Schizosaccharomyces pombe: one gene and its partners. The protein of the gene in region 4 purifies or fractionates together with the protein of the main gene of each other region. This does not show direct contact. Each region holds a gene or a part of one and is shown on either strand. Other genes may lie near its edges.

Region 1 (6,309 bases), on a different chromosome or scaffold from region 4:
TAGAGCCAAAATATAGACGTCATTGGGAAAAAATCCTGTCTTCAGGGAAGCACTCTTTGAAGATTTTAAAGATCTTGCTACATATTGGGGAGGACATCCTGGAGGAATAAAAGGACGACCACTTAGAATTTTGCTGAGCATATCTAATAGTCGTTCCTGTATGACTGGTAATAATGGAGGTATATTATGGGCCAGATCTGAGAGAGCACGGTAAGAAGCCTCAGAAAGTCCGCTTGCAAATATTAAGTCAAAGAGGTCATACGCATAGTTTGAAAAGGCTTGTCCTAGTGCTATAGAAAGTAGGCTAATGCATTGAAAAATTGCAGCATCCGAAGCACTTTTATTACGGATATGGATTTTTAGACTTTCCTTGATTGAATCGCATATGGGGTCAAGATATGGGATTATGCTATTAGTAATAGCCACGGCAACTTTTCCAATAGTGGCAAACGCCAACATCTTAACATTTTCTTTTTTTAATAGATTAAGTAGATGGAGCATACAAACGTGTAAATAATTGGAAACAAATTCATCTGGATTATAAGCTGCGAGTGTAGCAATCAATTCTGTAACGGTTTTGCGAATAAGCAAATCTTTGTGATCTCTGAATTGCAATATAATGTCCGATACTTCTCGATACCTCTCATGCATAAACATTCCAGCTTTTAAAAATAATTGGCGATATACTAGTAAACTACCATGAATGTAATCAGAAGAACCCTGTGCAACACCACGTTGAGCTTCATTGAGAATACTTGTATACCATTGGAGACGGATGGATGAATCCCTTTGCCTAACGATTTTCAAGAACTCACTCAACGCATCAGCCGAAGCTATTCGAATAGTAACTTTTGGATCCCGAAGTCCATGCCATAAAAGCTCAAAAATTGAATCGATATGAGCATAGATTAATGTAGACGTATTTTTGGCAAGCTCCTTAAGTATAAGCACTGCTGCATATCTACGATTTTCATTACGTTCTCCTTGAAGCCATTCCAAAGCGCGTTTAACTTCGAAGTTCACAAATTCAGAAGTTAGAGCACCTCCAGGAACTGCAAGTCTCCCTAAAGCTTTTGCAGCAAGAACGGTGGCTTTTTGGTCAGTTCCTGGAAGAATAATACGCAAATAATTTGCAAATCTAGTAATCCTTGTAGTATCTTCTCCTTCATAATCAATTAGACGATTTATGGCAGTTACGCCTGCCAGACGATCGAGTGGATCGGTACTGTGAATTAAAGTATAAACGTACTTGTTAACATCATTGTTAAACTGAACTAAAGCTTCGCCCGATAATTCTCGAGAATAAGCTATAACATATTCATAAAGATCATTTGCCGCTTTATTGCGAATTTCTTCATTCCTGCTTTTCAACCCAGGAAATTCTTTCATTATATACAGCTTAAATTAGCATCATTCTCTCAATTAAACAAAATTATTAAATGTGGTTGGTGGTGACCAAACAAGCACCTGCTGTACTTTTGCACCTAATTCTTAGTATACGCAGAGAGGAGATCAATAGAAACACGATTGAAAAAGTAATATTTTTATGACGATTAATTATTTGTAATAGATATACAAGTTAATATTTAGTGTTCTCAAAAAATCCAAGTTTTATTAAAAAAAGTCTAAACTTAGGAACTTTGGTAAAATACCAAAAACGAGTGTTGATTATCTAAATTTTATTTTCGAAGTATTACTTTAAGTTTTTTACTTTACATTTTTCTCAAAGCTCATAGAGGAGAACAAATAAGAATCGCTGTTAAAGATTCTGACGCTAACCACCAAGTTCACAACACTTGTGATATTGCTAATATCCCTTTCTCTATTAAATGGTTCTGTATAAAAACAAAAAAAAACAAATCATTAATTATGCAAATTCGAATTGGGGTCAAAATGAAGGTGTAGAATTTCAAGAAACTATGCTACAATGCATCCTCGAAGCTGTCATTGTAAGTAAAGATGCTAAGCAAGTACTTAGTCTGTTACATGAGTTAAAGCTTTTTGAGAATTTCCTTTGGCAGAGGGTTAATACTGAGATGTCATTGAACCATATAAACTTAACTTGTATGCTTCTATTATACAAATCCAAATATGAATATATTACATGGGACCTCATTGATGAAAATCGGTTTCAATTATTTTTTGAAAAAGTAATTGAAGTCTCTTTATCCTTAAATTTATCAGAAGTGGTTTACATGATTCAATTCATTACTCTCTGTTTTCAGTTTTCGAATATAGAGAAATTAAGGAAACTTGTTTACCAGTTAACGAACATTTCTATTTTAAATTCGCTTGATAATCTTGATAAAGTAAAATATTTACTACATGACTCAAGCTCTCTGACGAAAGCCTTTGATTCTTATAAGGAAAAACGACCGTCTATCGTTGAAAAGTTCCCTTTACATAATTTACTTTCCCGCTGGATTCATTCTCTGCTTATTAAATCGATTAGCTACGCTCAAACTGAAAAACAAGAAGCGAAAGTAACCCCCCTTTTAGCAATTATCAATATGTCTTTGGTTTTACTATCCGCATTTCCCACACGTCGCTTTGCTCATCCCGTAATAGAAGACAGTTGTTTTTATACCGCATTAAGAATGTCTTTGTATTACGACAGTAATGAGCTTTTTAAAAAAATGACAGACGACTTAAACTATGTTTTGAAATTCCCTTTTGATAATACCAGAGGTAACGAATATGAGAAAGAACAAAAAATCAGAAATGATGAGCTTGTGTACTACCACTTACAGTTAACTTTATTTTCGGATTTTCAGAAGGAATTAGGGGATCTGGTATTTTGCACACAAACCTCTTTACAACAGCGACAAAAATTGGAGGAAATTACGTCTTTTCTTTCCTTCAATTCACTTAAGTCCTTGTGTAGTAAATGTTATTTGAGGACTTCATTTCCCGAAAAATATGCTATAAAAGTGGATTTCGAATTTTTAAAAAATGTTTTTATTAACACGTATGATAGGACTAGATTGGTAAATGATTATGATGAAATCATAAATTTTACTTTGAAAGATGTACTTGGTGAGCGATCCGTGATGGACCAAGAAAACTCTTTGACCAATTACTTCCTACTACAAAACACTGCTATACAATATCTTTCTATATCTTTTTTTATGAGACAACAGAGTAAAGCTTACAAAAAGTTATTGTTAAGGTCACTATATGCTGAACTTTTAAATTTCAGTGAACAATACAGGAGACTATCAATTAAAAATGCGACCAAGAATTTGACCAAAGATAATTTTTTCTCTTTAAATAACTTTAAAGTTACCTCCGTTGCTCCACCTCAAATCGGTCAAGTTTTACCTCAATTTGTAAAGTGTCAAATGGGTTTAAGTCGACCTGGACCTTTTCATTCAGCGTTACGTGATTTAAAGAATTCCATCAAGAGCCCTTTTCTTTGCTTAATATACATTTCTAAAGATATGGAGTACAAGTTATTACATGGTAATGCGCTTGACCCCTTAGAAGGGGTGACTGATTTTACAATCGCGACGATATGCAATGATGATGTTGGAATGTTTCAAAGCGATATGCAGTCAGATTCTGACAACAAGTCCATCAATGTATACCTAAGCCCATTTTATTATCATTCCCTTGCGGGGTTGGGGGAATATCGCCCTAAGCAATTGAAGTTCAACTTTGCTTTGGTACTGTCTCCTGAGGCAAATAAGTATTGGTTGGACTTAAATATTCTTGTATCTTTACTTAATCGCGCTAAAGAATTTCCTAAATGGTTCGAAGATTTATTTTTGGGTTTTGGAACGCCTGATATATGTGCTTTTCCTAATGCTGGGCTTAATTCTATTTATGCTAGAAACTTGTTCAATACAGTCGAACAGTTGCAATCAGTACTTCCTAATTGTCATGTACCTTCTAATTTATCAACTGAATCTTTACTAATCAAATTTTATACTAATCAGAACAAAATATCAGCTGATGTTACCGCATCTGATAGGCATTTTTTACTACCATCAAATCGATTATATACTTACAATGACAAACAGCTAGAATCGATTTTACGTGGATCTCAACCAGGATTAACTATGGTTAATGGTCCAACTCGTTGTGGAAAACATGTTTTGGTATGCAAACTTCTAGAGGTTTTACAAGACACATCTCCCAATGATAGAACCGTTGTACTTTCTGACTCCAATTTCTCTATGAATACTTTGTTTACCTTACTGGAAAAAGCTAGATGTTTTCACCAAGGGCACCTATTATATCTATCTGATGAAGGAAAAGACGAAACGTTGGAACGTTATGGTACTTTATCGTCTTGGATATCTAAGCTTCCTGGTCTTCTACGAGAAATCGGTCGCCTAGCTGCTTCAATCCAGGCTCCAGGTTCTCATGACGCCAGCCCAGATACGGCTTTGTATTTTAGGGATGCTTATATTAAGCGACTTTGGGAAAAGTACTTGAACACGGTAGATGATAAGGATTCTGTGGATGCCTATAACAGGTTCCCTTTCCATTCGTATTTCGGTGACAAATCTAAGCGTCCGATAGAAACGTATAATAAAGATAATTTTTTCGATTATGCGACAAAGTTATACGGGGAGTTAGAATATATGTTCCAACAGCTGGAAGAGATCCGGCCTTTTGGATTACTGAGATATTATGAAGATCAAGAATTGTATGCATTATGCCAACAATCTAGGATTATCGGATGCACTTGGACGAGCTTAAGTACACGCTTAGGGACTTTGAAAGAAAAGGGATTTTGCTTTAACAATTTAATTGTTATGAACTCACAAAATATAAGTGAAAGCTCTATCACTAGCATACTACTTTCAAACTGTGAACCAACTGGTTTTGATCGCCTTGTTCTTCTGGGTAATCAATATCTTACCTCTGGGAATCAGGATATAAATAATACGTCAAATGGTTCACTTTTCAAACGTTTGCGGTATTTGAAATCCAGAATTATTGACCTTAATACGCAATACAATGTTAGAGAATCTATCAGTTCTCTATGTTCATCAATTTATCCTTTGGACATCAAAACTGTGGATTCTAGTCCCAATAAAAGACTTGATTATGGTAATTCGGGGTTTGCACATGAGGTCCAATTTATTAATGTGGGAGCTTTTAAAGGTTCTCAAGAAACAGAACCCGTTAGCGGTTATAAGCAAAATCTTGGAGAAGCCGAGTACGCAGTTGCCTTATTCCAGTACATGCGAATGTTAGGTTATCCCACCAACGAAATTGTAATCTGTACGCTTTATGAGAGTCAAGTCAGCCTTTTAAATGAAATTATATCGGTACGCTGTTCTCATAACTCGTTTTTTGGTCAGCCTGCTTTTGTAGGTACCGTGGAAAAATTACCAAGCGATAAACGGGTAAACTTTGTTATATTTACGACAGTTGAATCTAAAGAGGCCTCTGATCATTGGAATCCAAAAACATTTTATAAAGCCTTTTCAGCATGCTCATATGGTCTGTACGTATTGTGCAACCGTGACCTTTTTCGCTCTACACGTGGTCTTGAAAAACTGTGGAATGAAATTGAAAAGACTCCTGACAAGCTGCTTTTAACCACGGGAGAAATATATCCAAGTTCTCACAAAATCGGATCTTCCGTTGAAACATTTGAAATTGAAAATTTACTTCATCTCTCAAACTATGTTGTTGAAATGACTAAAAAAAGGTTAAATACGAATTAAAATAAAAACCTACTTCATATAGACTATTTGCTTGTTGTATTGAATTAATGATTATTTGTAAGATTAAAGTCATTTTATTTCATTGCTTTTTTGCATAATTAACTTATTTAAAAAACTAAATAGTGAGCTTTACAAACAATAAAAAGTTGATCCCCTCAGAAAAAGTCTTAGGTGTCATACCGATAATAGCTCACTACTTTATTCAACTATACAACAAGTTGGGTAATACATTATTTGCACGAAGTTAACGTCCAATGATTGATTGGTCGAATGAGTAATAAATATAACAATTTATTAAAAGAAGTTGCAGCTAAATATGCTAGTATCATTCTAAATGATGCGAAAATTAAGTCTTTAACTTCAATAAATAGTGCCGAATATCTATATGATTCATTTGTTGAAATTAGTAAATTACCACTGGAAAAGAAGCTTCCGTTAAAATGGAAACTGATTACAGTAAAGGAAAATATTTGCACGAAGACAAATTTAACCACGGCAGCCTCTAATATGTTGAAGGGTAGACAATAAGAATATATTTCAGTTACTAATTGCGGTTTAACTAGACTACAATTCTCCGTTTGATGCGTCAATTGTCGAAAGCTTGAAGAAAGCCGGCGGTATTATT
Region 2 (3,441 bases), 1.1 Mb from region 4:
CATTTCTATGTGTTTTTTTTTGAACAATACTTTCTGCCATTTTTTATGATATTTTGTTTTAATACATTTTTATTGGTTTATCAATCATTAAGAGATATATTAGTCTTTAAATGAAAGCTGTTTGTTTTAATGTATTCATTATTTCTCTTTGTTAATCGTGTTACTCTAGTACGAAATGTCCCCCAAAAAATGCTACAATTTAAAGGTGATTTGATTTTGTATACAAATTTTTTTCTTTTTTATGTATTTATTCTGTTGTCTAATTTATTCTACTACGAAATAGTTTTCCAAGGTTGTAGAGCTATTGTGATCTTTAGGCTTATATTCATTAGAATTGTCGACTCGGAGAAGTGCCGCTGCAATTCGGGCTTCCCTTCCGCGCATGCTTTGAGCTTGGGGTTTTGCAGGTGATTTCAAAAGCTCTAATCTTATGTTCATATCAGTTCCAAGCTTTTGTCCTGTTCGTGTAAGCTTCCGCTTCTTTGTTGAGGAAGGGGTAGGCTTTCTTCTGATTTTCTTTTTTCTTTGCAAAGATCCACCACAAGTTTCCACACCATGCATTGTGCTGCGTTCCAAAGTTATTCCGTTAAATACAACGGTGTTATAATTTCCTACTACATTGGCAAGGACAAATGAATCCCAAGTCATGTACTTTCCAGGGCCTTTATAACCTTTGGCGTAAAGAGCAATCAGGGCAGCTCGAAGAGTTGATAAATGACTGAAAAACCGACGATCGTGCGGCCCCTGCCAAATATGACAGAGTTCGTGTAAAAACACGTCCATGACAAATTCAAATGGTAACCATCGATTTGAAGCGTCTCTAAGGACAAGCTCAATACATTCTCCCTTATTCCAGTTTCTTCCCCAAAATTTTGCATTGTAAGCAACCTCATCCAACGAAGTGACTCCGAATCCATGCTCCTTCATAATAGGAAATGCCATTGCGGCAATTCTTTTTAAATAATCAGAAGATAGATCATGGAAATCTCCTTTTATAGCAGATATAAATCCTATTTTCTCATTTGGATGGTCATCGTCGTTTATTCGTAGCATAAAGCTAACACTTAAAAGGATACTCGTAGTCAGAATATAATATAAATACAATATAGCGATCATGGAGTTACTGCGTTTTAATATTTTATGGTACCGTCATAGGGCTTCTTGAATTCGCTTAACGAAAAATAATTTTCAAATGCAAATAAATAGAAATGAAAAACATTACAGTACAAAAATTAACATATTTTCACAATCAATTAATTTTCTGTTAAAATTATATTATTACCTTAATTTCAATAAGTTTAGTGAAATTGCTTCCTATCGATACAGATCGATGGCAACACCGATAAAAAATATGTAATAAAATATTTATTGACAAAAAATATATATATTACTAAATACTTTTCTAAACACAATTACTGACATCCTTTTTAACAAATTGTAAAAGGATTATAAAATGCTTAAATTGAATAAATTTTCTTATAAGCAGACAATGAGTTTTATTTAAATTGTAACATATCGATTCCCATGGTATATATATATATGTTGATGAAGGAAGCAAACGAAATTCGTGAATAAGTCAAAGATAAATTCTTTTTCATGTTTTTCATATTTAGCTGTATATGTGTCTGATTTCATTGCTTTATTATTCTGAAAGAGCATTGAACTTTTCATTCACAATTTTTGGAGTTTGAGTAACAAAACACCGAATTTTTTGAACACACTTCAAATTTCGTCAATTCAGTAACGGTTAATTAAGGACTTTTGGATTAGCAACGAATATCGATAAATTTCGGGTTGATCGTGAACGATTGTTGACTAAATTTCACAAAAAAGTAGTTTAATCGAAAAAAAAATTTGAATGAACAAGAACGAAGAACTCGACGAAGATGAGCTATTAAAAAAATGTATCATATGTCCTCCGGTTCCCAAAGCTCTTAAAAAATATTGGAACAATCGATACAATTTATTTTCACGATTTGATGAAGGAATCTGGTTGGATTATCAGTCATGGTATAGTGTTACCCCCGAGTATGTATAATAGCATTCATGTATTAATATCAGTGATTTTGTTGTTTGCATTTGAATGGGTCTGACAAATTATAATTAGAAAAGTAGCTGTTGCTATCGCGAAGTCGGTTGTAGATTTTATACAGCCCGAGCTAATAATTGATGCCTTCTCTGGATGTGGTGGAAACACTATTCAGTTTGCCAAGTATTGCCCAGGTTCGTTTGTAATAGTTTGTTATCAACCTTACATCTGTATCATATCACTGTTTATTAACGCTTTTGTTTCAGTAATCTCAATTGAGATCGATCCTATCAAAATCGCTATGGCAAAGCATAATTTGGAAATTTATGGCATTCCTTCATCTCGAGTCACTTTCATTCAAGGAGACGTTCTTGACACTTTTAAATCTTTGCAGTTTGCTAAAGATTACAGGGTATAGATAATCTTATATATTAATTCTGTGTTTAACAATATTTTCTAGTCTCTTGTTTTTATGAGTCCTCCTTGGGGTGGACCTAGTTACTCAGGAAAAACAGTATATTCATTAAATGACCTAAACCCATATGCTTTTGATGTTCTATTTAAAGAAGCAACTAGGATATCCCCTTATGTTGCTGCATTTTTGCCAAGAAACACTGATGTAAAGGAACTTGCAGCATATGGGAGTATTCATAACAAGCCTTATATTACCAATTTTTTATTTGAAGGATATGCCAAGGCAATTTGCTGCTATTTTAATATGAAGGGTGCTATTGCGCGAAAAATTTGAAAGTTTCAACTCATTTTCACGTGAAGTTCGTCAACTATATATTTGATTTCATAAACATAAATTGATTATTAACATTTTCTACAATGAATATCGTTATAATTAGATTCATCACCAATAAACAAAAAAGGAGCGATCGACGCCCATCATGAGATGTCAAATATTCTTTATAACACTCAGTATTATTTTAGTTTTTGTCGAGCATAGTAGCCAAACCTCCTTCAGGTCTACCAAATAAGGGACATATTTTGTTGGTCTTCATGTGGCCCACTTGACCACAGTTACTACATTTGCGAGTAGTGGGTTTTCGTCCTTCTCCGTTCAAGTTGATTCCTTCTTTGGCAGCATGTCGAGCTCTTCGTCGCTCCCAATTCTTCTGACTCTTGGCAAGTTCTTGTTCAAGACGCCTTCGGTTGCGTCTATCAATTGCTTCGTCTCCAGTTGGTACGACGGCATCAAGAGCAGTTGATTGTTCGTCAATCTCACGCCTCTTCTTCAGATAGGCATGGATGACTATCGGGTCATGAATGGTTTCCTGTTTACGTTCCAAATTTCCATTTTTGTCACGATAAAGTCGAACAATTCGTAAAACTTTATCAGAAGATGGAGTTTCTTCTCTCGTAGTCTCCTCATTAGATTCAACGTAATCATCATGTATAGAATTGAT
Region 3 (3,391 bases), 2.6 Mb from region 4:
GATAAAGGCGATATAGCAAAAAAAATTTACGTACTCAAAAATATGACTGATAAAACTGATATTATAAATTTCGATAGTTTAGCAAGGGATTATCCCGACTTGAGATCTTTGTAGGGCGTTCTCAATGCCAATTTATATACTAATTGAACGTAGCGTCAAAAATGGTCGCATTGATTTTTGGAACGAAGATGCTATTCGGTTGGTAAACTCACATATGTTAAACGATTGCTTACCTATAAATTAGTACGTTAGGAAAAGCAATTCTGGATCGGGATTATTCTCTTCGTGTTGAATTTCCTGAGAATCGTCTATGTCCAATGGTAAGAGATGTGTAGCATCACCAATGTTTCTTTTAAACAAACATTTCCCTTCTCTCATAAATGCTAATTCATTTAAAGGTTCCAAACCGGTATATTAACACATTGTTTATTCATCATTTATAACCAACTTTTCAGAGCCACTTATATAAGATATATTCATGACCTGTTGTCAAGTACATCTGGGCAAAAGGATAAAAAAAGAATCATTGGTTTGGATATTGGTACCGGCGCTAGTTGTATATACCCATTATTAGGCTGTCGTATGTACTCATATGATTTCGTTGGCACCGGTAAGCTTTGATTTTTCACAGGCTTTTACTAATTACTCAAAACTCTAGAAATTGACAAATTTTCTTTTGAAACAGCCAAGAGCAATATTCTTCAAAATAACATGGAATCCCAGATCAAAATTGTGCTTCGTTCTAAACAAGACTGCTTACTCCCTGATACCGAAGGGATGGAAGAATTTACCTTTGTGATGTGTAATCCCCCATTTTATGAACATGAGGAAGATTTCATAAATTTTAAGCAAAATCCACCATCGGGTGTTTGTACTGGAGTTTATCATGAAATGGTTACAGAGGGTGGTGAAGTCGGATTTGCCAATAAAATCTTAACTGAAAGTAAAAAAAGGAAAGGAATTCAATGGTATACCTGTATGTTTGGCAAAAAATCAAGTGTACCTGCTGTGGTTGATAAATTGCGTGAACAAAATGTAAGTCCTAACTAGCCTTTAAAATTTTTTTAACTTATATCTGTAAGATATCAAATTATGGAATTTACGAACTCGCACTTGGAAAGACTAAGCGCTGGATAATTTGCTGGTCATTTCAGGCTATGCGTCCACACAATGTATGCTGCTATCGAACGATATTTAAAATTCATGATACTAACAAAAGGATCCAAAGGAACTTATACGTCCTTCTTCAACTTCCCTTTCTAAATATTTCCCCCATAAGGTTCTTCAGAATTGGACTTTAGACCCAGAATTATGTGCTCAAATTGATGACATTCTACAGAAATTCTTAGATGATAACAAAATTCCGTGGTCTAAAAAAGGATCCGTTTTGGAAATATCAACAAAATCTATCACTTGGTCTCGTAAAGCTCGACGGATATCCAAAAGTCAAACTTCTGTTTCTAGTCTGGAAGGACAAATGAAATGTGAACTGAACGTAATAGATAATCAATTGCAGTGTAAATGGATTGAAGGATATGATTATAATGTTTATGAAAGTTTCTGTTCAGCTTTAGCGCGAGCTTTACGGGACAATAAAAAATAATTCAATTCGTGAAAATTCACTTGGTAATCTTCTTATATTGAATAGCCAAAGCTTTGAATTTTGTATTTGAATAAAATGTCTTAAATTGTATAAAATAAATGATTAAAACAAATGACATGCGATACATAATAATTTTATCTCTAAAATTTGATGCCTTAAAGCTCATTCGAGTATTGGGTTCGAAACCCATTTATTTAGACTAATGAGTGCTTTCACTTAATTATTAAAATTAGTATCAAGCTTTTTCAACAGTCGAATCTGTATTAAGAAGTCTTAGCTTCTCAACTTTATTCTCAGATACTGGAAAAATAAATGCACATGAAGATCAGCCTATTAATATCACAAAGCTATTTTGGACTAGTAAAACTTCAGAATCCATTATATCTTAACATAAAATTGATGATTTTATCTATTGTTGATGTGTTTTAGTCGAACATAATACTTGATTTTTGCAGTTGCCAGGAACACCAAAGCACACACCATGAAGTTGGTACGGTAAGTATGATAAAAAATCTATACATATTCCTAACGAGTTTAGCTTTTTAATGAAGCTGACGAATGAAACTGTCTCTATTGAGTTAAAAAATGGTACGTAAAGCCTTACTTTCGTATAATAAATGAACCAAACTTACCAAATCGCGTAGGCACAATTGTTCACGGAACGATTACTTCTGTTGATATGCAAATGAATACCCATTTAAAAGCTGTTAAAATGACTGTCAAAGGTAGAGAGCCAGTGCCTGTAGAAACTCTGTCAATTCGTGGAAATAACATACGCTACTACATCCTCCCAGACTCGTTACCACTTGATACCCTTTTAATTGATGATAGCACAAAGCCAAAACAAAAGAAGAAAGAGGTAGTACGAGGTCGTGGACGTGGACGTGGCCGTGGAACTAGAGGCAGAGGCCGCGGTGCTTCTCGTGGGTTTTAAATATTATGAAAATATTCTCTTTTCGCACCCTTATTTTTGTCAGAGAATTTAAAATTATTGGCAATATCAATCGGCCTTTGCATTTTATTTTCTTTTAATAGATTTGCTTTGTGATGACATTGAAGTATTGCTGAGAGTGTATGCGTATTCTATGTTTTCCATGTTTCTATCATTTATCTCTGGTTAAATATCTAGACCGCTAAAAAAATCCCTTTCTTTCTCATACGTTGAAATGTTTGATAATCAACCTACGATAGCTTTGCTGAGGTGGCTTCATAAATGTATGTATAAAACGACTTCAGAGTTGTTTCACTGGTATATAATTAAATATTACATCAAAAATTTCCTTAATTTATTACGAGTACCCAGTTAAATAAACGTGTATTTTATTAACTTCTAAAAAGATGTGAAATTTGAAATAAATGTGATATTATGAAAAATAAGGAATCATTCCTCAACATGATTTTCAAAGTTTTTCAGTAAGCTCCGGGACGATTTCAAATAAGTCACCTACAATTCCCACATCTGCTGTTTGAAAGATAGGAGCATTTTCATCGCGATTTATAGCAGCAATGACTTTGCTATCTTTGATTCCGGCAAGATGCTGAATAGCACCATCAATTCCAACAGCAATATAAAGCTTTGGGGCGATGATTTTTCCAGTTTGACCTATTTGTAAAGAATTATCAGCATAGCCAGAATCCACGGCAACACGTGTAGCACCAATTGCTGCACCCAATTTGTCAGCCAAAGGTGTAAGGATGCGTTCAAATGTCTCTTTGTCTTTCAAAGGTCGACCACCAGCAACAACTCTTTCGGCAGAAGACAAATCAGGCCTAGCATTCTTTATAATA
Region 4 (3,969 bases):
AATGGAGCGACCCTACAAGAATAAGACTGTTTACAATGTATCTAGATTTAGGAGGCGTTTCTACGGGCCAAAAACAGTTTACAGGGGGTACTGATATTAATAACGATGCGAAGGCACGAGAAGTTTCCGCTCAAACCACGACTGATTATATTGAATACGATATACTTGATGAATATGATATTGATTTTAAGTGGGTTGCTGGAGTATTTCTGTGAGTCATTTATGTTTCCATTGAATTTAATTCACGTTGTATTTTAGCTAATCAATTTAAGGTCGTCACACATTTTGTATAACGCTGGACTAACTAAGGAAGAGGATTTGCAAATAGCTTGTCAAATTGTTAGAAATTTTCTGCTAAGTGTTTTGCATAACAATGTTGCACCAGAATTCGAAGATAATATTCGTGACGCATGTTTATTAGCAGAGCAAGCAGAAACTGAATTAATTTCTAATAAGAGGCTATCAACTAAACTTCCCGGTAGATTGCAGCGGGCATTGGCTAGTATACATGTTGACAATTATAAAGGCTTATGGGACAAATCGCAAAGTGATAGGACAAGTGATAGTTCAGTCAATTTCATTGAATCCAATAATACCAAATTCATGCCAAATGATGAACTATTTGAGCCTGATGGAATTAGTAGATTTTCTACACAGCAAGCGCGCGACTACATCCAGAGAACTCTTGGTCCACGATATTTGACTGGGAAAGTCGTTGAACAAGAGTACTTAACAGTCAAGTTAGTTTCTAAAACGCTATTGAATTTTTCAAACCAATCTTTATGCAAAGCAGTGTTTATCGTTTGGGATCCACCCGGATCTAAATATTCTCAAGATACAAATAAGGAAAGACTAGAAGTAATTTTGGAATCTGATTTACTGAACAACACTGTTGATGGCACTCACTTAGAGGGATCGTTCACTTTTTTGGATAATGGACTGACTATATTAGACACTGTGCTTGCTGTGCTACCCACCTTTTATGAAGAAGTTAAAGATGAATAGCATTGTATTTTAATATAGTTACTTTTGTAATATAGCTGGATATGAAATCCTTTAATTAGTTGCTTCTTCTTATTGTGATGAGGATAAAGTTCTAACATATATTAATGACCCGTTGGTGAGTTCGTACTTCCCCCAATTGCATAAACAATAAGTATAAGAAATTATAATTCCCAATCACATAATAGATATTACTTGTGTATGTAATTTAATGTTTTCAAATATTTTTATACAAATACGTCAAACTATGCGACAATATTTTGAAAGCTAGATCGTGCAGAAGTCGCTTCTGAGTCAGTATTGAGCAATAAGAATTATTCGGATGATTTTTTCAATAATCTTAAGTTACTGTCAGGCTCAATGCAATAAACACGATCAAAAGAACATTTAAAGCTATAATGTGTATTCACTTTTAATTGTAAACACAAACGATTAAAAAATTTACGTGTATAAGTATTTTTCCTCTATGAAGGCTAAAACGTTATGTGGAAAAGAATAGTCAATCATCAATAACGTTCATAACTTGTACTATTGAACAAGTCGTGCTGGGTAAAGATAGAAATCAAGTAACTGGATTGGAAGTTGTGATTAGCATAGCGAAACGCAGCGCCTATGGCGAAATAACCCAGGTGAGGAAAAGACACCTTACAACTCCAAAACGACGAAAATAAATTGGTAATTGTTTTACTGGGTTAAGTGTATTGTAGAAGCATAATTGAATTGAAGAAAGTAATTGCTGTTCTTTTGGACCTGTTATTTTTGTACAGGAGTAAGCAAACTACGGCTTTCTGCAATAACTTGAATGTTTTGATATATTTACACATTCTCAATAATTTAAAAGAATTGAAAATAATTATTAAATTAATTAAAAAAATTGAAGTATCGAGTAGATGAATGTTGGAAAGAAATCCGAAATTCAAGTCTCAGCTAAAAGCAATCTTAACTTCCTTAATGAACTAATTGAGGAAAAAAAGCGATACGAGGACGAGAAGCGCAAGATTAGCCATCAAAAGTATACCGATAAATTATTGGAAGCCAATGATAACGAGACGACCAAAAGGAAATTACTGGTAAAACAAAAAAGAAAATCCAACAAGGAATTTCAAAGTAATATTATCAAAAAAAGAAAGGACGAGGAAAGAAAAGGAACTTTAAAAACTGAACAAGCTAATGAGGAAGAGCTGTTGCAAAGAAGTCGTCTGGAACTGGAACGAAAAGCTAAAAAATACGACCAGTATGCTGCCGGAGAACTGGAAATAAAGGAGACAGAAGATGATGGAATCCTTGTCGACTTCACACGCAAATGGGCTGAGGAAGCACCCGAAAATGAAACAGTTGAAATAACGGATGAATTTGGGCGAACCAGGAGTGTCTCTATTTACGAGACCGGTAATACCCTACTTTCACAAAAGGAGGAGTACAAGCCCGAAAAGCCAATATACGGTGACTATATGCCATCCTTCGAAGTAGACGAAGAAAAGGTTCAAAAATTGTGGAAGGAAGATGAGCAGCAAGCAGTTCATTATGACTCGACTAAGGAAGTAAGGAATAAAGGTACGGCATTTTACCAGTTTTCTTTTGACGAAAAAGAAAGAGAAGAGCAACTTCTATCTTTAAAGGAGATTCATGCTAAGGTTACACAACAGCAGAGAAAAAACACAGAAGATGTGTTAACCTTACGAGACAAAAAACTTGAAGAACGGCGGAAATTTCTTGAGCGAGACTATGCAATAAAGTTGGGGGAGAGATGGATGTCTGAACATTTTTCTAATAATTGAGGTAGAAACTAATGAAATGAAAACGTAATGATAACGACTCATAAACAAAAGCTTCTTAGCGAAAACAGAGAAATGTAATAGTACTGTAGGAAAAAAGGAACACGAAATCACCAAAAACAGCAGTAGTTTTCTTCTTTTTTGTTTTATTTTAACGAATTATTTATTTCTGATTATTGAATTCACAATCAGTATGAATGTGAAATATTAAATTATGTATTTTGGAGAACCATTTTTTTGTTGCGTATTTATAAAATTAATAAGGGAGAAAGGATAGGGAAAAAAGCACAAAACATATTAGCAAGAGTATACAAGCAAGTGAAAAATAATAACCAGTTGGATGGTCAGCTTTACTTAAGCATTCTTTTATAAATTTTTTAATTGGCGGCAGAAAAAGGAAAAAAAATAAACTGGACGGCCAAATATATCAAAGCAAAGAAACGTTCTGAGGATATTAAGAGGAGAAAACAACTTATATGTTTTAAAAACAAAAAACAGAAGGACAATCTATTAAAAAAAGAATCAAAACTCGAAAGCCAGCTAAGACTGTAACGGAATTAAGAGGACTTTGGGTGAACGGCTTTTGAAGGCTTTTGGATGCAACCGCCTCCAATTTCATAAAGTCGGTACAAAGCAAGGTATCCGCATACCACAATGTCCAAGACAATAGCACTCAACGTTGGCAAAATCAGAAGAAACGCAATGGTGAATGCGGAAATAACCACAAATTTGATAAGGAAAGACAAAATTTCTTCAAGCAACATAACTAAGTATATATACAAAACTAAAAGATACGTTTTGAAATGCGGAAAATGATAATTAGGAAACAGAGGAATATGACTCAGACTTTCAAAACAGCAGTTATAACCGACCGTGTACGTTTGTAAAAACAATTGAGAATATTATTAAAGTTACTATTCTCGTTTTTAATATTGGATCACTAGAAGATATTGATTTGTATGGGTTGTAATTTGAATTTCAGTAAATCAATGGCGGTAGATAATAAGGTAAAACTGAATTCCGCTGTCGAATTCAGGGCAATCTCAGCATTCCCGAGCGGTGCTTTACGAAGTGTAGTGGTGTGCGTTATTTTGCTGAAAATTGTAAACACATAAAAAACCAAACTTCAGCAAGAAGAATAAAAAAAACGGAACTGATTGGTTGTTTATCGAAATTTTTGCTAGTTGAAATA

The links.
Region 1: the proteins of ctr1 (region 4) and cwf11 purify together in Schizosaccharomyces pombe (affinity purification with mass spectrometry, with the first as the bait; one study listed by BioGRID). This does not show direct contact.
Region 2: the proteins of ctr1 (region 4) and tgs1 purify together in Schizosaccharomyces pombe (affinity purification with mass spectrometry, with the first as the bait; one study listed by BioGRID). This does not show direct contact.
Region 3: the proteins of ctr1 (region 4) and smd1 purify together in Schizosaccharomyces pombe (affinity purification with mass spectrometry, with the first as the bait; one study listed by BioGRID). This does not show direct contact.

Annotation. Positions count from the first base shown.
Region 1 is NC_003423.3:920,896-927,204, forward strand, and holds cwf11 (protein Cwf11), read left to right. Parts: upstream 1-1,776; 5' UTR 1,777-1,829; coding exon 1,830-5,684; 3' UTR 5,685-5,746; downstream 5,747-6,309. Other genes in the region: TORC1 serine/threonine protein kinase Tor2, read right to left, coding at 1-1,389; gta1 (glutamyl-tRNA amidotransferase alpha subunit), read left to right, coding at 5,955-6,201, 6,248-6,309. UniProt on the Schizosaccharomyces pombe protein: Involved in mRNA splicing where it associates with cdc5 and the other cwf proteins as part of the spliceosome.
Region 2 is NC_003424.3:840,908-844,348, reverse strand, and holds tgs1 (RNA methyltransferase Tgs1), read left to right. Parts: upstream 1-1,723; 5' UTR 1,724-1,858; coding exon 1,859-2,028; intron 2,029-2,107; coding exon 2,108-2,223; intron 2,224-2,295; coding exon 2,296-2,441; intron 2,442-2,489; coding exon 2,490-2,777; 3' UTR 2,778-2,878; downstream 2,879-3,441. Other genes in the region: DNA repair WLM domain metallopeptidase Wss1, read right to left, coding at 265-1,053; taf1 (transcription factor TFIID complex, histone acetyltransferase subunit Taf111), read right to left, coding at 2,962-3,441. UniProt on the Schizosaccharomyces pombe protein: Catalyzes the two serial methylation steps for the conversion of the 7-monomethylguanosine (m(7)G) caps of snRNAs and snoRNAs to a 2,2,7-trimethylguanosine (m(2,2,7)G) cap structure.
Region 3 is NC_003424.3:4,519,684-4,523,074, reverse strand, and holds smd1 (Sm snRNP core protein Smd1), read left to right. Parts: upstream 1-2,060; 5' UTR 2,061-2,084; coding exon 2,085-2,098; exon of another isoform or gene 2,099-2,141; coding exon 2,142-2,191; exon of another isoform or gene 2,192-2,247; coding exon 2,248-2,537; 3' UTR 2,538-2,888; downstream 2,889-3,391. Other genes in the region: methyltransferase Mtl16, read left to right, coding at 125-198, 245-320, 399-409, 456-610, 659-1,035, 1,083-1,172, 1,229-1,603; etf1 (electron transfer flavoprotein alpha subunit), read right to left, coding at 3,004-3,391. UniProt on the Schizosaccharomyces pombe protein: Plays a role in pre-mRNA splicing as a core component of the spliceosomal U1, U2, U4 and U5 small nuclear ribonucleoproteins (snRNPs), the building blocks of the spliceosome.
Region 4 is NC_003424.3:1,900,427-1,904,395, forward strand, and holds ctr1 (protein ctr1), read left to right. Parts: upstream 1-1,649; 5' UTR 1,650-1,892; coding exon 1,893-2,780; 3' UTR 2,781-3,415; downstream 3,416-3,969. Other genes in the region: arb1 (argonaute inhibitor protein 1), read left to right, coding at 1-211, 273-1,005.